Mus musculus: one gene and its partner. The protein of the gene in region 1 interacts with the protein of each later gene in a pairwise test. Links are inferred from orthologs where the notes say so. Each region holds a gene or a part of one and is shown on either strand. Other genes may lie near its edges.

Evidence for each region.
Region 2: the proteins of Stx5a (region 1) and Stx3 interact in binary tests that used the Homo sapiens proteins (3 or more experiments, as listed by UniProt). The link is inferred for Mus musculus from reciprocal best matches to the Homo sapiens genes STX5 and STX3.

Annotation. Positions count from the first base shown.
Region 1 is NC_000085.6:8,748,041-8,751,849, reverse strand, and holds part of Stx5a (syntaxin-5), read right to left. Parts: intron 3,390-3,809; coding exon 3,273-3,389; intron 3,196-3,272; coding exon 3,139-3,195; intron 3,044-3,138; coding exon 2,962-3,043; intron 2,185-2,961; coding exon 2,078-2,184; intron 1,945-2,077; coding exon 1,823-1,944; intron 1-1,822. UniProt on the Homo sapiens protein: Mediates endoplasmic reticulum to Golgi transport.
Region 2 is NC_000085.6:11,816,456-11,821,064, reverse strand, and holds the start of Stx3 (syntaxin-3), read left to right. Parts: upstream 1-1,661; 5' UTR 1,662-2,343; coding exon 2,344-2,373; exon of another isoform or gene 2,374-2,412; intron 2,413-2,724; exon of another isoform or gene 2,725-4,609. UniProt on the Homo sapiens protein: Potentially involved in docking of synaptic vesicles at presynaptic active zones. Apical receptor involved in membrane fusion of apical vesicles.

The DNA of each region.
Region 1 (3,809 bases):
TTTGTATGTCTGTGTGTATGTATGAGTATGCATGTGCCATGGCCCTCATGTGGAGGTCAAAGGACACATGTGGGAACTGGTTCTCTTTTACAATGTGGGTTCCAGGGACCAAATGCAGGCCATCAAGGCTTTATAGCAAGCAAACTTATCTGCTGAGCTTTGCCTTGAGTTTCTCACTCAAGAGGAAAAAAGCTAAAAACAATGACTGAGTGTGTAACTTAATGGCAGAATACTGTCCAGCATGTACAAGGTCCTGGAGTTGATCATGGGGTGGAAGACTGTTTCTGATATCTGTCCTCCCTGATATAAATGCAATCTGACATTAAATGCTTCCTAATGAGATACAAGTTACACAGCATCTTCTTTCAAGTTATTCCATACAAAGTAATATAAGCAGTGCCACTGAAGCCCATATTTGGTTTTTCCAAATAACACTGGAGAACCAAGCTTTTCTGTTTTGAAAGAGCAGTAACAAGGCCAGCAAACAACTTGAAGCTATAGGACACTGCAAGGCCTGCAGGACAGTCAGGAAATTAAAAGGGCATCCATCAGGAAACTCCTGCACCCCGTTCTGATACACATTTAGCTGCCTACACCTCAGGAATTTTCTTTTTCTTTTTTGCTTTTTAAGTGATTTACTTATTTTCATTTCATGTACACTGGTGTTTTCTCTGCATGGCTATCATCTGTGTGAGAATGTTGGGTCCCCTGTAACTGAAGTTATAGACAGTTGTGAGCTGCCATGTGGGTGCTGGGAATTGAACCCGGGTCCTTCAGAAGAGCAGCCAGTGCTCTTAACAGCTGAGCCAGCACCTCAGGAGTTTTCAACATAATGAGCAGACAAGCTTCATAAGAACTGTCCTTGCCCTTCTCAGGTTCACCGTCTTTCTGCTCTCTAAAGTCAGCTTTGTTTCACCCTGCCTTGTGGAGCGAGCACCCACATCCCGCGGGCTCTACAGATTTCTCAGGCTGCTACAACAGTACCACTGACATTTTCTGCTGCTGACATTTTAAATCAACTTTTAAATGCCTGATGCCTGCGTTGGATCTCCTAAAACTAGGGTTAAATATGGTTGTGGGCCTGGAGAGATGGCTCAGTGGTTAAGAGCACTCACTTAAGTTCTGAGTTCAATTCCCAGCATCCACATAGCAGATCATGGTGGTCTGATGTCATTGTCTTGAACTCCTTGGTTCAAACAATCCTCGAGAGTAGCTGTACTTTAAGGTCAGCACACTGTGCTCCCTTCTCAGCTGTTTGATTTTTTTTTTTTTTACATTTTTATTTATTATTATGGGGTAGGAGGCATGGATGTGGTGATCACAAGACAACCCTGTGGCGCTGAAATCTTTCACCTTTATCTGGCAGCAGTTACCATTCTCGTGTTACTAGGCGTGTGCAGGAAATGCCTTTGCCGGATGAGCCAGTTGGCTGTCCCTACCAGTTGTTTTCTCTATGATTCTGAGGACAGATCCTAAACCTTTATGCATGGTAGGCATTTTCTTTTACTTTTCTTTTTTTTAAAGGACTTCTCTGTAGCCTCAGCGGCTGTCCTTGAACTCACTATGTAGAGCAGGATGGCCTCAAACTTATAGAGCTCTGCCTGTTTGTGTCTCCAGAGTGCTGGGATCAAAGGCGTGCATACACCACCACACCAGCCCCTAAATAAATTCTTATGGAATGAGTAGAAGCAGGGGAACAGGACTAGTGGGTAGGCAGGATTCACTCCACTCTTCCAAAGAACACCAAGTTGTCCCTAGGGACTTCAGGATATCAATCCATGGAGAAGAGAAGGCTGCACTGTATGGGGTGAGAGTGTCTCACCTCTGAATCGTTTCCTCCTGTTCTTTAACCATGTGTGCCAATTGCTGAAAAATGGAGCCCAGCTCAACGATTGTAGACTCAATGTTCTGCATGGTGTCTGCCCGACTCTGGATGTAGGAATCCTTCAGAAGAAGAAAACACCATGAACTAGGGCCTAGGTTTTTAAGACTTTTTCACCATGACACATTCCAAACACTCAGGGGAACAAAGAAGACAATAGAGAAACTGATTCTCCAGATTTCAGAGCCTGGGTACCTGCTCATCAATGAGCTGAAGCTGCTGGCTTGTTCTAGGGTCCATCATGTCAATAGCCACGTCCCTGGAAGCTCGGGACTCTGCTCCCAAAATTATGGGACCACCTCCTGGGAGGAAAATAGGACATGGCACATTTTAATGGTTAAAAGCAGGTTCAGGGCTTGGCATTGGTAGCACATGCCTTTAATGCCAGAATTCTTGAGGTTGAGGCAAGGGGGTCTCTATGAGTCTGAGGCCAATCTGATCTGCCAGCCAAGACAACATAGAGAAACCCTGACTGTCACTGTCTGACTGCCACTGTCTGTCTGTCTCTCAAAACACACACACACACACAGTGCATACATGAGAATGTATAGGCATGGTTCAAGCAAAGCATGGTGGTGCTTGCCTGTTATACTAGTCATAGGGAGGTGGAGATAGTTTAGTCCTCAGCTAACAAGCTAGAGGCCAGCCCAAGCTACATGAGACCCTAGCTTTAAAAATAAAAACACATTCAAAACCCACTAGATTTAAATCCAGCTCTGAATAGATTATTTGATCTGAGTCTCAGTTTCCTCATCTGCAAAATGGAGCTAACAATAGTTGCTTTTCCAAAGGCTGGTTGTGAAAATTAGAGAGAATGTAACTAAGTACAAAAAGTCAGACACTGTCATTTTTCTGATATGTCTACATGATATGTCTCATGTTTCCCATGAGAAGGCACAAGGGTTAAGTGTAGATCATAAAGTTTCAAAACCAAGTTTGTCCTCTGAGATAATGCACAGCACCATTCTGGCAGCTCCGTTCTCCTACTCTACTGTGTTTACACTCTGAAGTCTAAAGGATGCCACCAAACCCAGAAGAACTTAGCCCCTAGGCTTCCCATAGTGCTACTACTGACTTACCAAGGTTGTTGGGGGCAAGAGGCAGGGCTGACACTGGTGCCCTGGAGAACTGTTCCCGACGGTTCCTCTGCTGTTTCAGATTCTGATGTTGGGGAGGAATACACGGCTCCTGAGTCCCTGGAAAGTGGGTCTGTGGACCCTACAATAGGTCCTTACCCACCTACTGATCCCACTTACCTCAGTCCTCACTTCTAGAACTGACTTGAAGTCATTGGACATAGAAGCCAGCTTTGACTAAAAGGCAAGGACAATTGGGTCAAAGAATGTATTTTGTTATTCCTCTCCTCCCTCCTCCATCCCCAAGGTCCCACCTGCAACGAAACCACAATGGTGTTAGAATGGGTCTGCAGATGCCGGCCACTCTGGCTGCCCTTGGCCCTCACAAAATCTTGAAGCTGAGCAATTTGTTTGTTGAGGCTATTGATATCCTGGTAAGAGACCAGAAGAAAAGCATTAGGCAGGGAGTCTTCAGTCATGAAGACCATCTCTGTGAAGAGTCTCTGGCTGTCTCTGGCAGGGAAGTCAAGAGGAAACCAGCTAATGGTGTACGCGTCTAGTCAGGTCAGAAGGTGACACTAGACTTTTCTAGCTCTGTTCATTCCTAGCAGAGAAGTCAGAGAAGGGAACTTGGGGTTTGATCATATGTAAATGACTGTTCTGTCCCCGCCTTCCTGCTCTACTTCACCCTGTGAGGCCACAGAACCCTTTCAAAAGGCAAAACTGTACCTACAACATGCTGACAGAGTACCTAAATATTACTCAGGAAAAGGTAAAAACCACTCTAGTTTCCTACATGCATCAAAGAAGCAAATTTTTACACAGAATTTCTAATATTGCAAAAGACTTAT
Region 2 (4,609 bases), about 3.1 Mb from region 1:
TTCTGTATAATAACTTTTTAACAGAGCTGGTACCATTCAGTCATGGAAGGTACTACCTTGGGAGTATACAGAAAAACTGAGCAAATTAAAATGACCAGTGACCACTAACAAAAAGCTGTTCCATGCTATGTATCCTATGGTGGCCTTATCTAATGCACCTTTCTGATTCTATAATAGTCTGTGACTTTCATTGTATCACAGCTATTGTCCAGCTATGTAAATTAGATATCGGTAGTAAGCAGAGTGCTTCTATTCATGGAGATTATAAGGACTTAGTGTACAGGAGAAGCACGGTTTCTTCTCCCATCCCCAGAGCTAGTTTTGCATCAAGTAACCTATTCATGCCAGCCTTCCTGCTGTTTGTCTGTGGATCTGAATGAGTTTAACCTCTTACTGGTTGCTTCACTAATAAGCTAAAACATTAAAATATATTCATTTTATATTTGCATGAGAGTCACAATTTTTTCCCTGTTGAAATCAATTATATCCTTTAAAATAATTTGCTGGGACTTAAAAAAATTTTTTTTTTACTTGTATGAATGTTTTTGCCTGCATTATGTCTGTATACCACATGTGTGTAACCTCTGCAGAGCCCAGAAGAGGGCGTTGCATCCCCTGGAACTGTGTGTCACCATGTGGATGCTGGGAATTGAACCCAGGTCCTCCAGTCAGTGTTCTTTACTGCAGGGCCGTTTTTTGCAGCCTAAAATCAATCGCGTCTTAACTGGAATCCTTTGTTCTTGCTTCAAAATGAATCCATCCTCCTTCCTCACTTCTGTCCAGATTTCAGACGTCCACACTTCGAGAGTTTTTCACTGTAACCCCTCTTACTGGAGAGGTTGAAACAGGAGAATGGCAAGTTCAAAGCTTGCCTGGGCAATTCAGGGAGATTCTGTCTGAAAGGAGAAAACCTAAGGGCTGATGCTAGAGAATGAGCTCGGTGGCGGAAGGTTTTCCAAGTGTTTGCTGGGCTGGGGTGGGGGTGTTCAAGCCCTAGCTGTAGGGTTACGACCACCAGGGGGCGTGGAAACTTTCGCAGTCCTCGCTGGGCCAGCGTCAGGACAGGAGCCGGAGGTCAGATAGAGGATTAGAGTTGATTACCGCATAGTTGGCTCTAACAGCTCAAGCCCTGCCTTACTTGACTACCTTTATGGCAGCGGAGGAAGTCAGTAGGAGCGTGCACATCGCAGAGGGTAAAGTCCGGTTATAATTAGAAAGTATCTATGGCCTTTAAGATTGAACACAAAGTCGAGGATACTTCTCGAACTTGAGACCAAGTCTTCACTAGCGCCAATTGTTGACCACTACTCTGGTCGATACGCCATTTGTTATCCCCAAATCAAATACGGAGGGGAAGGGAATAGGGGCACCGTTGAAGAGGAAGGGCAGTGAGAAGAACCACACTTTTCTAAAAATTCTTCAAATCCCAGGGCTCTTGACAGCAAGGAGGAGAGAGGTGGGCTTAAGTTTTCCAAATCAAACAAACGTCTTTATCCTACAACTCTGCCCGGTAGTTAAAAGTCAGTTGCTTCTTTTCTCGTACAGGCTAAGCAGAAAATTGCTAAGCAGCCTCTGATTTATATAGCTATGGAAACGGACTCTCCTAGATTCCCTCAAGTTATTCAAATTGTTAGTAAAAGGTGACTGGACCGCCTACACGACTTCGAGAGGCCCCACAACCACTAGCATCATAATCCCCAAATTCCTCGCCGCAGCCCGATCCAGGGCATCTCATCTGCAGTTACGCCCTACGGGAACAAGTCTCTGAGCCCGAACCGCACAGATTTTATACCCAACAGGTCCCTTCTTTAAGGCGGAATATCTCTTGAGCATCATCGGAACGTTTTCCCTCATCAAAGGGAGCAGGAACCAGCTTGTCTTCAACCTGAGGAGTCCGCAGAGGGCCGAACAATAAGAACAGTGCGGAAAATACGGAATCGAAGCCAGACAGACCACCCCCGCCTTTTTTTTTTTTTTTTTTTGTTTCTGCCTTTCGAGGGGCATGGGAAGGTGTGCCCGGAATGCTTCCGGCGCTGGAGCGCGCTGGCCCTTTAAGCAGGAGCTCGGGGAGCGGCCCAGGTATGGGGCGGGCCCAGGGGCGGGCGAGCCCTGAGCCGGCGCGGTCTCGTAGCCGGATTTGGAGCGCGGCGCCGGCGGGGGCCGGAGGGGGCGGCGCGGCGGACCTCGGTGGCCTCGGACGCTCCTCCTCGAGAGCGGCCGCCGCCCGCCTCCGCCCGCTCTAGCAGCTCTCTCGCCCCGGCCGGCAGCCGCCGCCGCTCCAGGCCGCTCACTTGGGACGCGCTCACCTGAGACAAGGCGCCCGCCGCCCTCACCTGGGCCAGGATGAAGGACCGGCTGGAGCAGCTGAAGGCCGTGAGTCCGCGGCGCTTGGGGGATCAGGCGGGCCCCGGGCTGCGGGGATCGGTCATCAGGATAAGTGGCGTGGGAGAGGGGCTTCTCCTAGTTCCCCTAACCCAGGCCGCAGGGGTGCTCTGCGCGCTAGGCCTCCCTCCGCCCAAGCCCCCGCCTCATCCCGCGGAGCTTTGCACCCTCCCCTCCCCTGCAGGGTCATGTGCTCGGTGATTCATCACCTAGCTGCGATTTCCCTGGACGCCCGTAACCCTCTTACCCCTTCTCCCCCAAAGCTGGACAGGGTTCCTCCAGAGCTGGACCCACTCGGGGACTTGAAATCAGCGGGGCTAATGGAGAAGTCAGGGGGCTCACCTCACCAGCTGTCTTCTGCCGCCTGGCACTGTGCCCCAAACCGGCCTCCTCTCCTTTCTATTTCCCTCCCGGAGCACCGGGCAGGGCTACTCCATCCCCGGAGTAGTTGAGAGTTCCGGGTGACTTCCGGAGCGGTGAGCCTGTTAGGTGCTGAGATGGCACCCCTCTTCCCATTCAGTGGTCTGTAATTATTTTGTCTTGTACCCCCGGAGACAGCTGTGGTCGTCTGCCGCACAAAAGCTGAAAAGCTTAGGTCACTTACTCTTTTGAGCCTATTTCCTTGTCGGTCAAGGGAGAATCTTCCTTCCTTATAGGTCTGTTATGAAGGTTGAATGACATAATGGGATTGATATAGGGAAGTGCTGAAGCATCAATTTTTGGAGGTATAGATTCATTTAGTAAGTTACTGAGCACATTCTATGGAGCAGGGCGAGTGTGAAACTTTAGGAACCCACCCGGTGATACAGGCTGCCACTTAATGGGATATAACAGTGCAGCCCTGGAAACTCACAGTGGAGTCTGCCTCCTAGCTAGCCTAGAAGCGCGCATCAGCTCAGATCTCAGACTAGACCTGGTGAAGGTCTCACCGAGTCTTCCCAGGTGATTAATGAGCTCCTTACAGTAGGGAAGTATTAGTCTGCATTAGCACTGGGGCTTTGCCCTGGCCCTACTGCTTACTGGTTACCCTTTAAACTCCAAGCTTAAGTTTTGTTATCTGTAAAATGAGTAGGTATGCAAGCTAAAAGCAAGTGAGCTGCAGGAGAGCCCTTTGTATGGCGCCTAGGACTTATGCTAATAACTTAATGTTTTTTTTTTTTTTGGCTTTTTTTGTTTTGAAATAGAAATGTTGGTGTTGTAATTGTTTTACTTTCTCCTCCCTTGCAGGGATGAGATCTTCCTCACCCTGTTTGCATGCTCTGGGTCCTGGGCTGTAGAATAGGTTTGGGAGATGGAGAAATGAGAGAAGGAAGAGACAGTTGCTTATTGTGGGAGCCAGCCTCTGCCCCAAAGTTGCTTTTTCACATTTGAGCCTCAGGGCATCCTGGTTAACTGAGGGGCAAACTTTACTTGGTGCTCTTTTGTAGTTGGGATAACCTGGATGGCAGGGATGCCCCTTGTCAAAAAGAGTTCAGAGCTGAACAGCAGTCAGAGGCCGCTCCCTTTACTTAGTCAGGGAATCTATTTTGAGACTAAGATACTCCCTGGCTCTTTTCAGTAGTTGGTTGTCAACAAAGTAATCTTAAGTGAGCTTTGAGTTCCAAGAACAAGGCATTTTTCTAGGGAACCGGAACACGTTCCTTTGCCTCTCAGCCCTGCAGGGTTAGCCTCTGTAAATCAGGGCTAATGCAAGTGAGGTGCTAGCTGGTGCTATATTTATGGTAGTGTTCTAAAACCACAGGGAGGTCGCTGTCCTTTTGGAGCAGTGCGATGCAGAGAGGATGGGGTTGAAGTTCAAAGGCTTCTCTAATTGAGGCCCTGACACTTAGTAGCCGGGATCCTTTTGCAACTTCACCTCTGTGCTGCTGCTGCCTCAGCCACTGCTTCTTCTTGATTATTCTTACTTATTTATTGACAATTTCATTCACGGATACAATGTATCTTGATAACTGACCCAAATCCTCCCTCCTCTATCCTCAGATAACCTCCCGTACATCTAACAGTCTTGTACCTTCATGTCTTCTCTTTCCTTTTCTCTTTAAAAATTTTACATAATCAATTGAGTCCAGTAAAGGATGCCTGCATGCAAATCAGTATGGGGCTGTCTACCAGAGCATGGGTGGCCTGCCAAGGGGACACACTCCAGAAGGAAGAAAAATGATTCCCCCTTTCCCTAGAAGCCGGCGACTGCCAATGGCTCCTCACTTAGGGGTGGAGGGAGCCTCAT